2 linked regions of the Astyanax mexicanus genome follow. The protein of the gene in region 1 purifies or fractionates together with the protein of each later gene. This does not show direct contact. Links are inferred from orthologs where the notes say so. Each region holds a gene or a part of one and is shown on either strand. Other genes may lie near its edges.

Region 1 (7,180 bases):
CATACAGACCAAGGCCTGGTAAAGGGGATAAAAAGGTTTGTGTGGAATTGTGTTATACTATTAGATTAACTTCATCAAATAACAACAATAATATTATCACAATTATTTCTGGGACAATATATTGTCTAAACAAAAATAGGTATCATAAAATCATATAAGAAAAATATAGTAGGGCCAGAGTCAAATCAAATCAAGTTTACTTTCATATCTTCTAAGTAAGGATGTAAAGGTGAGTGAAAAGCTTTGGGGCATGACCGCACTTGGTACACAGAAAGAACACAAAGTACCAGTCTATTTAGCACTCATTTAATGTTTTTTTAATTATTTTATTATTAATATTTTCTACATTGTAGATTAATGATGAATACATCAAAACTATAAAGGAATGCATATGCAATTAGGCCCGTCACAATAATTACTCAATCGACTTATCGTTCAATAAATGGACGTGACCTCAATCATTTTAATAATCGTGATATCGTCCATTGTGTTTGCACTTACATATATTGTGACTGTGAGTGTGACCTGGTAATGCGGAAGCACAGAGAGACACAGACACAGGGAGTGAATGAACTCAAATTGTACCTTTATTAGGAAAAATGTCCTCCATCAACACCCAAAACAAACTTAATGAAACATAGAAACACCCAGTACGGCTCTAGTCGCTTAACTTTAGTGTCTCTTTATGTTGGTCCAACGTGGGCCAGCTGGGGCAGACCGGGGCTGCACGTCAACCCACAGCTCCCCTGCCTCCACATTTCACAATGTGTATATGTATATATATGTTGAAGAACCTACTATAAGCTACTTTGGTTCAGGCTGGGAACTTTTCGGGTTCCAAAATTAGGCGTGTGAACAGGAATGGAAAGTTTAACGTCTTTAAAAGGGTGCAATTCTTTTATGATATTATGTTATCATTACTATCGTTTTTCACAATCATTTCTGACAACATAATGTTCACAAAAAAAGTTATTGTGCCAGGCCTATATGCGATTATGAAAAACTTGAAGAACTTAAACAAGCCTAAATATGTTTTATACTTTAGGTGATTCAAAGTAGCACTGTTTGCTTTGATGCCAACTTAGTCCCTCTTCACTTCATGATTTTTGATTTATTCATAATCATCCATGCTGCTATAGGGAGTCAGAATTCAGCACAACCTGTAAAGATAACTCACCGTATTAACAACATTCACATGAAGATTTGTGCTAACTCTGGTCTAGACTTCCCGGTGTGAAAAAGGACTTGAAATAGTGAGAAGAAGAAAAAAAAAAAAAAAGAGGTGAAGGAGGTGTGTGGGACGGAGGGGTGTTACTAACCTTATTTAAAAAGCTGGTGTGAAGAACCCATTGGTCTCTTGCATAATATCTCAGTGCCTGTCTGAGAAACACAAAGCAAAGTCAGAACTTCATTAAAATATGACCAAATTAATGAACAAATAAAAGCTGTGTTCTAATATTCTGACATGAGTGCATCATTACTAACAGGTTTACTACAAATTCAATTTATACTAATCTTAATGCTGAAAAGTAGAACACCAATGACCCAGCCTTTTTCTGTGGACATAAATATATACTGTTTTAATATATATTCAATGTAATATATATTTTATTTATATATTTAAATATATAACTCGAAATAAAACATTTTTTTCCCTTTTTTAACCCTAGTATGTTAATTTGTTTGCTCTTGCACATTAAAATCCTGTCCTTTTAACTACTTAAATATACATAAATACATTTGAAAACATAACTTAAAAATGTAAAGGATTCAGCCACAGCTGTTTTAAATCAGGTGTGTTTAAAATGAGGTAACTAGCTACTGCAACATAATGAATCTTAATATGTATAATATATATTTTTAGTATACAATGTTTTATACACTCTTTTTATACAAAATAATAAGTCTAATAAAAGTTAAAAATGAAACAAAACTAGAGTAATGCATCAACAAAAGATGAGGTAACTAGCTAACCTAGCTAGTTAATCCATAATATTTTAACGGCAATTAAAGCATACTAAAACTATTTCTTTAACTAAAAAAGGCTGTTTTAAATCAGATGTGTTTGGAAAGGTAACTAACTAGCTAACCTAGCTGGCCAGGTTATATTATTTAACTGGAATTCTCTCAAACAAATTATTTTATTCAAGTGTACACTACTGCAAAAAAATAAATACTAATATAAAATATACTTTTAGTAATGTTTTATACAGACAGTAGAAATAAATCCCAACATTTGTAAATGTTTGTCTTTTAATTAAACAGTAAATTAGTGGTTCCAAGGTCTTTATTATTTATTTGGAGATAAAACGTTTTTCACTATAAAAAGCCAAAACAGTTTTAAATCAGGTCTGTTTGAAATGAGGTAACGAGCTAACCAACCTAGCTAGTTAGGTTATATTAATTTAATTTGAATTATCTTATACTAACTTATAATATCCTCCTTTTTCCGTGTTAATTTACTGGTTAAATACACAAATAAAATGTATCTAGTCTAGTTAGCTAACCTAAATAGCTAGGTTAGGTTAAACTAATTTAACGAGAATGTTTGCTACCGTTAGCTAACAGAACCATGAGCCAAAAGCCACAAAACACTGTAATATTACAGCTATTTTCCTACATTTAAACCCCATTATCTGCTAACTCGGATACGCTGTAATAGACTAGAATAATTAGAGAATAATTAATTGAGCGAATCTCAGTCTGTAATCAGGTAACTTTACTGAACTCAGTAACGTTACAGCTGAGTGAGCGGAGCAGCTAACGCTAACAAACACAGAACAAACACACACACAGCGGCTAAAACCGCGGATTAAACCCCGAAGAAAGCCCTTATCCGCCCACCTCTCACACTAATACACTCCGGGATATACAGCAGGTCTCAGCGCGGCGGGTAAAATCAGAAATAAGACACTAAATGAAGATATTTACCCTAAAAACACCAAGCTAACCGCGTCCAACCTGCGTACAGCGGACCGCCATCGCTATCCCATAATACAAGAAGCGGAAAACACGACACTTCACAATAAGAGTCTCGAGAGCAGTTCAAAAAAATGAATGGGTCTCTATAGAGCTGAGCAAAATCTGAGTTTAATAATATAAATATTTAATTATTTAATAACTAACTGATAAATGTATCACAACATCTATGTATCTAGTTACATGAATTAATGGGCTCTTATTAAGCATTCGAACAAAATCATGTTTTTTATATATACATGTTTAATCATTTTTATACTGAAAAATGTATCTACTTATCTACATATCTATTTATCTTTAAAAAAATGAATGGATTCTTTTGGAGCGACCGAGCAATTCCAGAGTTTATAAATATAAATCTTTAATAATTTAATAATTATCTGATAAATATATACACATATATACATAAAATGAATGGCTTCCTTTGGAGCAACTGAACAAAATCAGTGTATGAATTGAAATGTTTAATAATTTAATAGTTAACTAATAAATGTATTTACATATCTATTTATCTACATAAAATGAATGGGCTGCTGGGAAACAATTGAGCACAAAGTTTTATCAAAGGTTTATAAATGTTTAATCATTATAACATGTACTTTAACATATTAACATGTATATTTAAAATGTTTCAACTTATCTACATATATATATATATATATATATATATATATATATATACATATATATATACATATATATATATATATATATATATATATATGTATATATATATATATACATATATATATATATATATATATATATATATGTATATATATATATATATATATATATATATATATATATATATATATATATATATATATATATTAACTACATAATATTACATTGTTCTCATAAAAAATGAGAAAATTAAAGTTTATAAAAAGTTTAATAATTTTAAATGTGAAAAATGTGTAAATTCATCTAATTATCTACATACATTAATGGGCTTTTATGAAGCATTCAGGGAAACTCAGATTATTCAATTAAATCAGTTTATACACATTTAACAATTTTCATATCAAAAATGTATCTACTTATCTAGATGAAATTAATGGCTTCCTACGGAGCAACTGATCTAAACCAGAGTGTGTAAAATTACATTTTTAATAATTAAATAATTAACTGATAAATGTATTTACATATCTATTTATCTAGATAAAATGAGTTGGTTCAATAAAACAAAACCATAGTTTAAGAAATACAAATGTTTAATAATTTAATAATCAACTGATAAATGTATCTATTTTTTTACATAAATTATGGATTCTTATAAAGCACTTGAGCAAAATCAGAGTTTATACATGTTTAATAATTTTCATACTAAAAATTGTATCTACATATCTCCATATCTATTTATCTACATGAAATTAATTGGTTCCTATAGAGCATTCAGCAGAGTTTATAAATATATGTTTAATAATTTAATAATGAACTATATGAAATATATCTACATGAAATATGAAATATATCTACATATTTATTTATCTAATCATTTATAAATGTTCAACAATTTTCATAATGGAAATTGTATCTATGTATCTATTTATCTACATAAAAAATGAGCAAGTTCCTATTAAGAAACAAAAATAAATAGATCTTTCCATTTTAACACTGTAGAGGGCACTTTAGAACATTTTGATCACAATATTATTTAATTAAATATATCAGGCATATAATTTCATGTCTGTGAAGGCTTCATCAATAATGTATCCAAAATTTAGACCAAACACACAGAGTCAGAGTTCATTTTCTTCCGCTGTATTTTAAAGAAACGTACAGCTTCTCTCAAATCAAGACAATTTAAAATATATCGGACAGCCAGGAAGATGTACACAATGTTCACACAGAGCAAAGCAGTGCTGTGGTGGAACTGCACACAGGAGCAATCACGTATTTACACTTTAAAATGAGGCGGAATGATTTATGAATGATTTATTATTAAATACTCAGCTGATGATCAGAGACTACAATCTGAGAGGAGATCACAAAGTACCAGAATCTTAATTTGCTCTTATCACACTCATTATTACACTGTGCTCAAAACCTACAGCCAATAATATATTATACACTCATTCACCAAAAAATAATACAGACCTGCAAAACAGACTCAGGCTACTTTGTATATATATATATATATATATATATATATATATATATATATATATATATACCACTTAAAAATGATGAGTTTCTTTGATTTTACCAAATTGAAAAATCTCTGGAATATAATCAAGAGGAAGATGGATGATCACAAGCCATCATACCAAACTGAACTGCTTGAATTTTTGCACCAGGCGTAAAGGCATAAAGTTATCTAAAAGCAGTGTGTAAGACTGGTGGAGGAGAACATGATGCCACGATGCATGAAAACACAGTTCCACCTAATATTGATTTCTGAACTCTTAAAACTTTGCATTATTTGAGGTCTGAAAGCTCTGCCTCATTTTTTTTTATTAGAGCCATTTCTGATTTTCTGCAATAAGTGCTGTAAATGACAATATTTTTATTTGGAATTTGGGAGAAATGTTGTCTGTAGTTTATAGCATAAAACGACAATGTTCATTTTACTCAAACATAAACCTATAAATAGCAAAATCAGAGAAATTGATTCAGAAACTGAAGTGGTTTCTTTTTTTTTCAGAGCTCTATATAAAAAGGCTCTCATTTGCACTATACTCTTTTGGGTAGTGTACCTCCAGGTGAGAGATCAGACAGCTAGACACACCTCTACAATGTACTTATAGACATTTTGCACATTTGACAGACTGTAGGAGGGTATGCACCATTGGACTGAAAGAACCAGCATGCACACCATCCAGACTGTTCATCAGCATGTCACTGCTCACCAGTAGTAGTGATAAGAAGCACAATAACAGCTCATTAAAATATGCAGGGCTTTTTTTAGCAGGATAATGCTTGTTCCCACAAACTTTGGCCTGTCTGGACGCAAAATTTATTACCAATAAGGAATTTATTGGATCAGCTGGGATGCCAGGATGGACTATGAAACTGTTGAAACACCAGTCATTTTAGTGTGGGAGGTTTCATGACTAAATTGGAGCAGCCTGGTGGCCAATCTTCATTAATTGCACATTGCAGCAGTAAGAGCAATAAGAGTGTGAAGGTTCAATTAGCAGGGTAAGAGCACAGTTCTGCTCAATATATTGGAATGCACACAACATTATGGGAGACATACCAGAGTTCAAAAGAGGACAAATTGTTGGTGCACGTCTTGCTGCCGCATCTGTGACCAAGACAGCAAGACTTTGTGATGCATCAAGAGCCACGGTATCCAGGGTAATGTCAGCATACCACCAAGAAGGATCAACCACATCCAACAGGATTAACTGTGGACGCTGTAAGAGGAAGCTGTCTGAAAGGGATGTTCGGGTGCTAACCCAGATTGTATCCAAAAAACAGAAAACCACGGCTGATCAAATCACGGAAGGATCCAATGTGCACCTCAACTCTCCTGTTTCCACCAGAACTGTCCGTCACCACAATCAATTATTGTGGTCTAAAACCAGGTGTAAAATTGTAATCACTTATATACTGTATTCTTGGTGCATTATTATAATATTTTTGGTTAATGAGTGTATACAGGGTGCAATTACATGAAATCAGAGCATATTTAACAAAACATTCAACCACCCGATTGTGTAAAAAGCACTGAAAGTAAGAAAAAAAAAAGCTGCATGGGCTGAAAAGAAAAAAAGAATACAGTGAATATGCATATGAAAAGACATATAATCATTAAGAGACAAAACAAAGAACAGATCTGCATACATATAGAACAATGTCACTACTGCAGGGGAAGGCAGCTCACGGACCAAACTCTTCTGAGGCATCGAACACGTGAAACAGCACACGCTACAACTGTCGGCGGCAACGACGAGATGAAGAAAAAAAAAACGTACTGTAGAATGCATAGAATAATCTGCGTATGAAATATATATACGTATATATGAAATATAGACTTTGTGGACTGCTCACCAGTTCAAGTATTAAACACACAAAACCACAAATCAGCTTCTCCAACGAATAAATTACTGTTATTATACTCTTCATTACATCTCCATAAACATATGTGTAAAAAATACAAAAGGGCAAAAGTGTTAGGACCATTTTTCATCATCTGTAATCTTTCAGTACCACACTGTATGAATCAGAAAGAGAATAATAAAGAGAGTTA
Region 2 (7,744 bases), on another chromosome or scaffold:
TCGTGACCTGGTTTATTAAACTCTAAATGTGACATCACAAGAAACTGTAACTTCATTTATCTATTGTAATATTCTGTTGCTGACACAGGCATTGCTAGGAATGAGTGTGTGATAAATGCATAAAGGTTTGTGCCTTTTTATTATGAACATACTGATATTAAATGTGTATACGTAGCTTTAAAAATCCCACACAGTCAATCTGATGTAATACTTAAACAGTGGTTTAGACTGTTGACCTTGGCATCAACAAGACACCTTACACTGTTAGGAACCCTTCCACTGACACCCACCTGGAGCATTCCAACAATCTCCACCTTGTTAAAGAAGATGAAGGAGTGCAGGGTGGAAAGCATGTTCTCCTCAAACACGGACGGCGTGGGCAGCACCATGTCCTGGATGTACTGGACCCGGTATGTCTGGTGAATCTTCTGACGTAACTCTGGGTCTGTGATGGGGATGACTTCTTTAAACCTGGCTGTAGTTGTAAGGAACTCACGGTGGCGCCGTGGCTGAGGCAGGGCCGGGTCGAACTCCAAGCAGCCAATCACGTCCATGATGCACTCTTCTGAGAACATGACTTCAAAGAGTGCAGTGCGGTTGAGCAAGAATATGCCCTTGATGATGTCATACAGGTGGTGTAGGCCTTCACGGTTCTCCAGGTCTTCACATACACGAAACAGCTCAAGTAGCTTGCGAATGTAGCCCTCGTTTTCCAGTGCCAAGGCCAGTTTTTCACGCCGTTGGGGCGAGGGCAGCGACGAGGCTACCAGCTCGGCCACCTCCTCCAGACGAGAGAGCTCACAAGGAGGCAGCTCCAGCCCAGGGGAGGACATGTCCTCAAAGCGCTCCTCCTCTGACTCATCAATGAGCTCCTGGGTAATGTCCACTGAGGGGTCCTTGCCTTGAACCTGAACCAAACAAACACAAATAAGCAGAATAAAATATATGGGAGAGAGGATCCAAAAATATAGAACATATGAGCAAAATAATGAAAAATAAATAAAAATAATAAGAAAGAAGCAAATATATGAAAAATACTGATGTTGGGCTCAGCACTGCCGTAAACATTACAAAAGTGCTAGACAAATACATTTGGTTTGCATGTTCAAATCACCTGACATATCTTCTCCCAGATCTCATCGCAGCCAGCTTTCTCCTGAAAACTGAGGGCCAGATCATAGTTTTCTGCTTCAGACCACACAATTAATGTGTCCTAATTGAAGAGAAAACATAAGAATCAGATATAATTTACATTAAAAAAAAGTCAAGATACAAAACAGTCATGCGTAGCTTTGGCTGGCATTGACTTTTTTCCGCTGTATGATGCCAGGCTAGAGATAGAATTACTGGCTGGATATGTCTGCTTGCATACAGAGCTGCAGTCTAAAGTTTTAACTTACTGAAAAGTAAATAAACAAACTGCACACAAGCTCATAATGTCCTGGATTTCATGTTCGTGTGACAGTTAAAAATGTGCACTTGTATTAATTGCATTGACAACATGCTTTTTGAAGCATATCGAGGTGATCAGTACTTCAAGACTACTTTAAATTTTACATTTCAGTAAAGAGAGTGAACAATTATGTTTAATTAGATTATGTGCAGCAAACATTGAATGATGCATGCTGTCCGCATGTCAAAACATTATAGCAAAACACTGTGATATGTTGAACAGTAACAACTGTATTGAGATACACATTGTATAGTCCAATTATTGGACGGCCCTATAGTGGTATTGTGAATGTCGTTCTATTATTATAATAGCCCAGCTGTAAAACTTGGACTCACCTGCTGTTTTTGATAGGCGGTGTTGGGGTTAATTTTTGACTCCAGCAGCAGAGACCCTGGGAAATTGAAGAGGTGGGGTGATCAGTATCCACTCATCACTTCAGACCGTGCCACACAATCCGACACACAGCTGGTTTCTCTGAGATGAACTTACCGTCACTTTCGGCGCGCACCAACAGCGACATGCCTTTGAGTCTCTCGACGTATCCGGAGGACACATGGCCCGTCCCTCGGTCATCCCACTGCCGGTCTTCATTCAGAGTGTAGACCTTCACCCGCCGCCGAGTGTCAGTCATTCTTGCGAGTCGCTTGTAAACACTGGAGCAGGTGATGGTGTGAGACTATCCTGGTTAAATCTGGGTGTTGGAGGCGGCTCCCTCCCTTTTACTTTAAGCGTATCTTGTTTAGTCTTCTCTGTAGAAACGCGACATTTAGCTCTCTAGCGCTCGGCTGCGTCTGGTGTCGATGCTAGCGCGCTGCTCCAGTCAGTCTAGCCTTAGCCGGCTAGGCTAAGCTAGCGGTCTGTGTGTGTGTTGACTCCGTCCGCAGCAGCATAGTTAGCTAGTCAGTGCCCTTCGGTATCGCCGAGTCGCCGACCACAGCCGCGTTTCTCCTCTCCGACTCCGGCTCTGAACCCGGGATATCTGCGCGGGTGGAGCGCACAGCTCACAGGAGAAGAGGGGGCTCGTTTTCAGCTGCCCTAATTCCTCCAACCGAGCCCACCACCACTGCTAACGAGCTGAGCTAGCTGTTAGCTAGCGGGCTATCTGCTCTCCCCAAACATTCTTCCGACTAGCGCTAATAACACAGTTGATTTAGGAGAAAGAAACGCCTCTACTGCCCCATTATAATCCCGCCCTGCCTGTGGAAGTGTGAACGCGGCTGTAGGAACCCGCACAGCTCCGTGCGCTCATGATAAGTAGGCGGCAGCGGCAGCAGCTCGCAGCCCCGCTAGCTAACGCTTATATTTTGGCCAAGTGTTCCGCCATGTTCTGGCTGAGGGCCGTGGAAGGACCAGCCTTTCCTCAAACGCAGACGAGCGTGTGAAGCCGGAGCGGCTGAACAGACAAGCTCGACAAACTCCCCTCTACAACAAACGTCCCGGGCAAACCGCCGAGCACCATCAAACCGCGCCGTCTGGACGAGAGTAATTATTAGCCCCACTGTAAGTGTTCGGCCATCTTGGGTCCCCTCAGAAAGCATGTACGGGGTTTCCTACGCATCGAGCGCAGGGCGGCCCGCCACCGTTTAAAGGCACAGAGCAACAGTCAATACACACACACACACAATCCCAATCAACTCACACAGTAAACACACACACACACACAAAATCAACTCAGTGAACACACAATATACACAAAGTAAACTCACACAGAAAAAACTGTTCACAAACAGTGTACAACACACTATAGACCTATTCACAATCACATACAAACCAGTTTTAGACCTATTCACAATCACAGTGTACAACACTACAAACCTGCTCACAATCACACTTTACAATACACTACAGACATATTTACAACTACAGTGTACACAACACTTTAAAACTGTTCACAATCACAGTGTACAACACACTGTAAACCTATTCACCATTACAGTGAACACACTATAAACCTTTTCACAATCATTGTACAACACACTATTAACCTTTCACAAACACATTGTACAACATAGTATAAACCTATTCACAATCACACTGTACAACACATTGGAAAAAAACTGGTTAATCTCGACACAAAACATTTTGACCTATGACATTAAATTTGAAAATAGAAAATAGGGTATAAAACGTAATTATATTGCTTCCTCATTCAATATAATGTACAAGAAATTGGATGTACTCCAATTTTCTAATTGTTCTTTTTTACATCTTGTACCAAATGATGACCTACTTTTGTTACAAAATGCAAAAATCAAATAAAAAAAAAATATGAGGGGGAGGTGCCAAAAAACTAGATGATAACCTATTTCTTGTTCACTATAAAAATATAAAATCCATAAGTCAGAAAATTCAAGTGATACACATTCCATTGACAGAGGTCCAACAAAAATTGAAACTCTGACCTTGCAGTTTACAAGAGACATGTTTTGTTCCACACGTTCCCAAAATGTACTTGCTAGATTACCTGTTAATATGTTTCAAAATAACACACACAAAGTTAAAATTTGTTATTTTAACTGTTTATTATAGTAAATGACAAAATAAACAATGGTGAGCCACTTAAAAAGTTACAGTCATTAACAGCCAAATTGGATTTAAAAAAAGGGAAAAAAAAACATTCCAAGCAGTTAACAAAAACAGAAAATTATTAAGTCTAAACGTACATCTTTCACACAATATGCTTTCGTTTAACACAAACATCTCTGTAACAATGTAAATTCACCTTTATATAAACTGTGGAAAAAGGGAAGCACACACAAACCGGTTCTAAAAAGGGATGCAAAGGCAACCAAGGAAAAATCTCCCACACAATGAAAAACACATCAGTCAGTTGTTTTAGTGGCTCAGATTGGTGGGTCCTATTGTAACCATATAAAATTTGTGTACCACGTCTACTGCTTTAGGGACAAAGGAGAAAAGAACCAAACTAAAACCACTCCAAACAAGTTTATTAAGCGGCAAGCATGGACAGCTTTAGAATCGTTATACAGAATGCAGATTCAGTGTAAACTACTGGAGAATCACAGAAAACAACTTTTGAAATTATATTTAAAAAAGTTTGAGGGAGGATGATACAAAATATATATCTTTAAAAAAAATCCTTCAAATTGAACCCTCCTGTCCAGTTAATAAACCCCACTGCAATGGGTCCAACTGCCCATGCCCCCACCCACCCCAAGCACTCTAGAGCCAGATAAAGGTATTCTGATGGTAAATCTTTCTTGGCATTAAGAGTACACAAATGTTATCAACATAATATCAACATAAGAACACTGAGTTTCCCAAAAACACTGTGGCAAAGACCTGCAAGTTTTAACTGAATCAGTTTCCTAGTAACAGATAAAAAGGTCTTAACCCTACAGTACTTTTAGGAAACCCACCTGGGTTTTGTTTACATTGCCCAATAATGCAGTGTAATTCTCATTAAGGTAACAAATGACAGACGATTTGCTGCAGCCAATGTGAAATGTCCCTTCATCTTCTATTTCCCTGCTTGTTGAGCCTGGCGTCTCAGCAAGACATAGATCTTCTCCTTGATCCAGTCTTTATTGTAGGGCTGGTATGTCTGTGTGTCTGCCCGGTACCTGTTCAAATCAGCAGAGAGAGAAATCCACACAATCATGTATTATCCTTTAAGTATTCCTAAAAATATTGTACTCACAGTCAAACTTACGCAGAGGCTGCAGATGTTCGGTAGTATAGATATAGATAATAGCTTATTCAAATTGGTAGGCTAGTTTTCCACAAGCATCGTACAGTTCAGATCACATGGATTAAGCATATTGTAGCACTGAACTGCATAAGCAATGTCACTGTACATTAATCCAGATTTGGGCCAAACCTAATTAGAGAAACCAGCCAAACAAGTAACAACTCATAGTAAGTGTTAAGCAAAACACTGTAGCTCAATACATTTTCTTTTTAATTGTTTTACAGAAATGATGTAATGTAATGATGAATAGTCCAAAATATCAGATTTGTTTAAAGCAGCAGTTCTTAAGATTTTTATTTTTATGGGTTTCTGCAAACATTACTGTAAAACCATAGATATTAGTTCTAAAAACAGGGGGTCTGGTAGCTTTAGCTGTTTACCTGAGCATTTGCAGTGCTGCTATTAGTGCTTATACAATGCACATTTTTAAAGAACTTTAACATTCTGTGCAATTACTCATTCTCAACCAAAATGTATGGACTGTCACTTTAAATCTTGTTACATGATCAAGTCAAAAAGGTTTGTTTGTTTACCTTATCCTAAAAAAATTTTTGGAGATGTGCAATATGTTTATTCACTTTCATGAAAACAACAGTGAAGTTTTCAGCGATTAACATTCATGCCTTGTTTACACACAAGATTCATTTAATGTGGACACTTACACCAGACAGCTGAGGTCAGCGAGGTCATCCACAAAATCAAACAGTTGGCTGATATCATAGGTGATGGAGGGGCTGTTGGGATTCATTCTTTTTAGATGCTCCTCGTACATTTTACACACCCCTAGAAAGAAAAAAAGAGGAAGAAGAGGTAAAACACACACACACCCTAAACCCATAAACCCATGGACTGATTTTATAGAGCTCACCCTCCATGCACTCATTCACAGACTCATAATCAGCATAAGTTCTTCCCTCTGGCCTTTTTGTAGGCTGAACCAGCAGAATTGTGTGAGACTGAAAAAGAGAAGCAGGAAATCATGAAGGGTCACAGTTAGGCCTGGACAATAATTCGATATCGGTATTTATCGCGATAAGAAATGTTTCAATAACGGTGATATCAGTTTTGTGGTATATCGATATGTATTAGAATCACGGACAGGCGTCTTTTACTGGCGTCAGCTCGCTGCAGAGCTCAACACATTCAGCCCCTGTAGCTGGGCTACGTCAGTGCGTGATGACGTAACCACACAGGCACGTAGCCAAATAGGCTAGGCTAGGCAAGGCTAGGTTAAAATGGCTAGGCTCGGGTCCGCTTCGCTACGCAGCAAAAATGTCTCTCGCTGGAGCCAAACGGAGCCGGGACGAGCGGATCCAAGGCTAAGGTAGACTCGGTTCAGTCGGCCCCGGATCCTCGAGGCCGGCCGCGGGTCCGCTCGCTCGGCCGTGGGTCCGCTCGCTCGGCCGTGGGTCCGCTCGCGGGTCCGCTCGCTCGGCCGCGGGTCCGCTCGCTCGGCCGCTTTGCTACAAATTGTGCCGGAGAGTGCAGCCGACCAGCAGCGGTAATGTTAATACATCTAAACTGTTCCACCACTTCAAGCAACTCCACTACATACAATATTTTTCTTATACTGACTGAAGCACTTTTACAGCTTATGTTGTAACTAAGTTATTCATAGTTGATAAAGCCTGTAGGTTTGTTTATTTGACGGGAAAATCTTGTTGTTTTGATGTTTATAAAGGCTTATTGTATTCTATATCCTAGTTGAAACACTTTTGTTTTAATCTGTTAAATTTGTTCACAAAGAATAAGAAGCTCTGCCTCTGTTGTAATTTAAAGTTATTTTTATTGGTAATAGTTATATAGGCTTATGTTTGACAGGGATGTCATGTTATTATTTTGCTATATGCAAATAAAATTGAGCATTGATTTATTTTGACTACTTTTATTTCTAAAGTATTAAAGCTTTTGTGAAAGGAGGTTTCAAAGGCTTAAATTAAATTTTCAGACAGTAGTAGGTACAGGTTTCCGATAGATAGATAGATAGATAGATAGATAGATAGATAGATAGATAGATAGATAGATAGATAGATAGATAGATAGGCATATAATGAGGGTATGTGATGCCAGCCATACAAAAAGTGCAAATACACAGTTATATAATAATTTAAATTCGCAGTGCTGCAGGGATTGCAGGGCTTCTTAGCAGTTTTCTGAGGCCTTCAAAGTATTTATATCAATATCGAAATTATATCGTATCGACCGAAATTTAAGAAATATATCGTGATATAAATTTTGGCCATATCGTCCAGCACTAGTCACAGTTAACACTCCACACACCGACAGCTGCATGGAGAGGGAGAAAGAGGTTTTCATGGACACACATCTTGACTTTCTGAAGCTTGAATTGCTCGTAAAGGTAAAAGCAGCTCACACAGTCAATTATCTACTTTATCTACCTGAACCAGAGAGATTTCCTAATGTTAGTAAACATTTTGCCAGAAAGCAGTGGAGTCTAAATACAGCTCACTCTACACTAGTTTCCTCTGTTAACCCAGCTAACCTTCTGCCCTCTTATAAACCAGGATTACTGAACCGCGAACTGGAACACCCAGCTCCTTAATAAACATTGAAAATAA

The links. The genes of interacting proteins can lie anywhere in the genome.
Region 2: the proteins of dhx38 (region 1) and smek1 purify together in Homo sapiens (co-immunoprecipitation; 3 studies listed by BioGRID and IntAct, with this or other methods). This does not show direct contact. The link is inferred for Astyanax mexicanus from reciprocal best matches to the Homo sapiens genes DHX38 and PPP4R3A.

What each region holds. Positions count from the first base shown.
Region 1 is NC_064423.1:36,778,097-36,785,276, reverse strand, and holds the start of dhx38 (pre-mRNA-splicing factor ATP-dependent RNA helicase PRP16), read right to left. Parts: upstream 3,013-7,180; 5' UTR 2,932-3,012; exon of another isoform or gene 2,845-2,931; intron 1,381-2,844; 5' UTR 1,320-1,380; intron 1-1,319. UniProt on the Homo sapiens protein: Probable ATP-binding RNA helicase. Involved in pre-mRNA splicing as component of the spliceosome.
Region 2 is NC_064408.1:51,831,325-51,839,068, reverse strand, and holds the start of smek1 (serine/threonine-protein phosphatase 4 regulatory subunit 3), read right to left. Parts: upstream 3,005-7,744; 5' UTR 2,085-3,004; coding exon 1,943-2,084; intron 1,845-1,942; coding exon 1,789-1,844; intron 1,214-1,788; coding exon 1,115-1,213; intron 909-1,114; coding exon 291-908; intron 1-290. Other genes in the region: erh (enhancer of rudimentary homolog), read right to left, coding at 4,935-5,037, 5,828-5,948, 6,034-6,121. UniProt on the Homo sapiens protein: Regulatory subunit of serine/threonine-protein phosphatase 4. May regulate the activity of PPP4C at centrosomal microtubule organizing centers.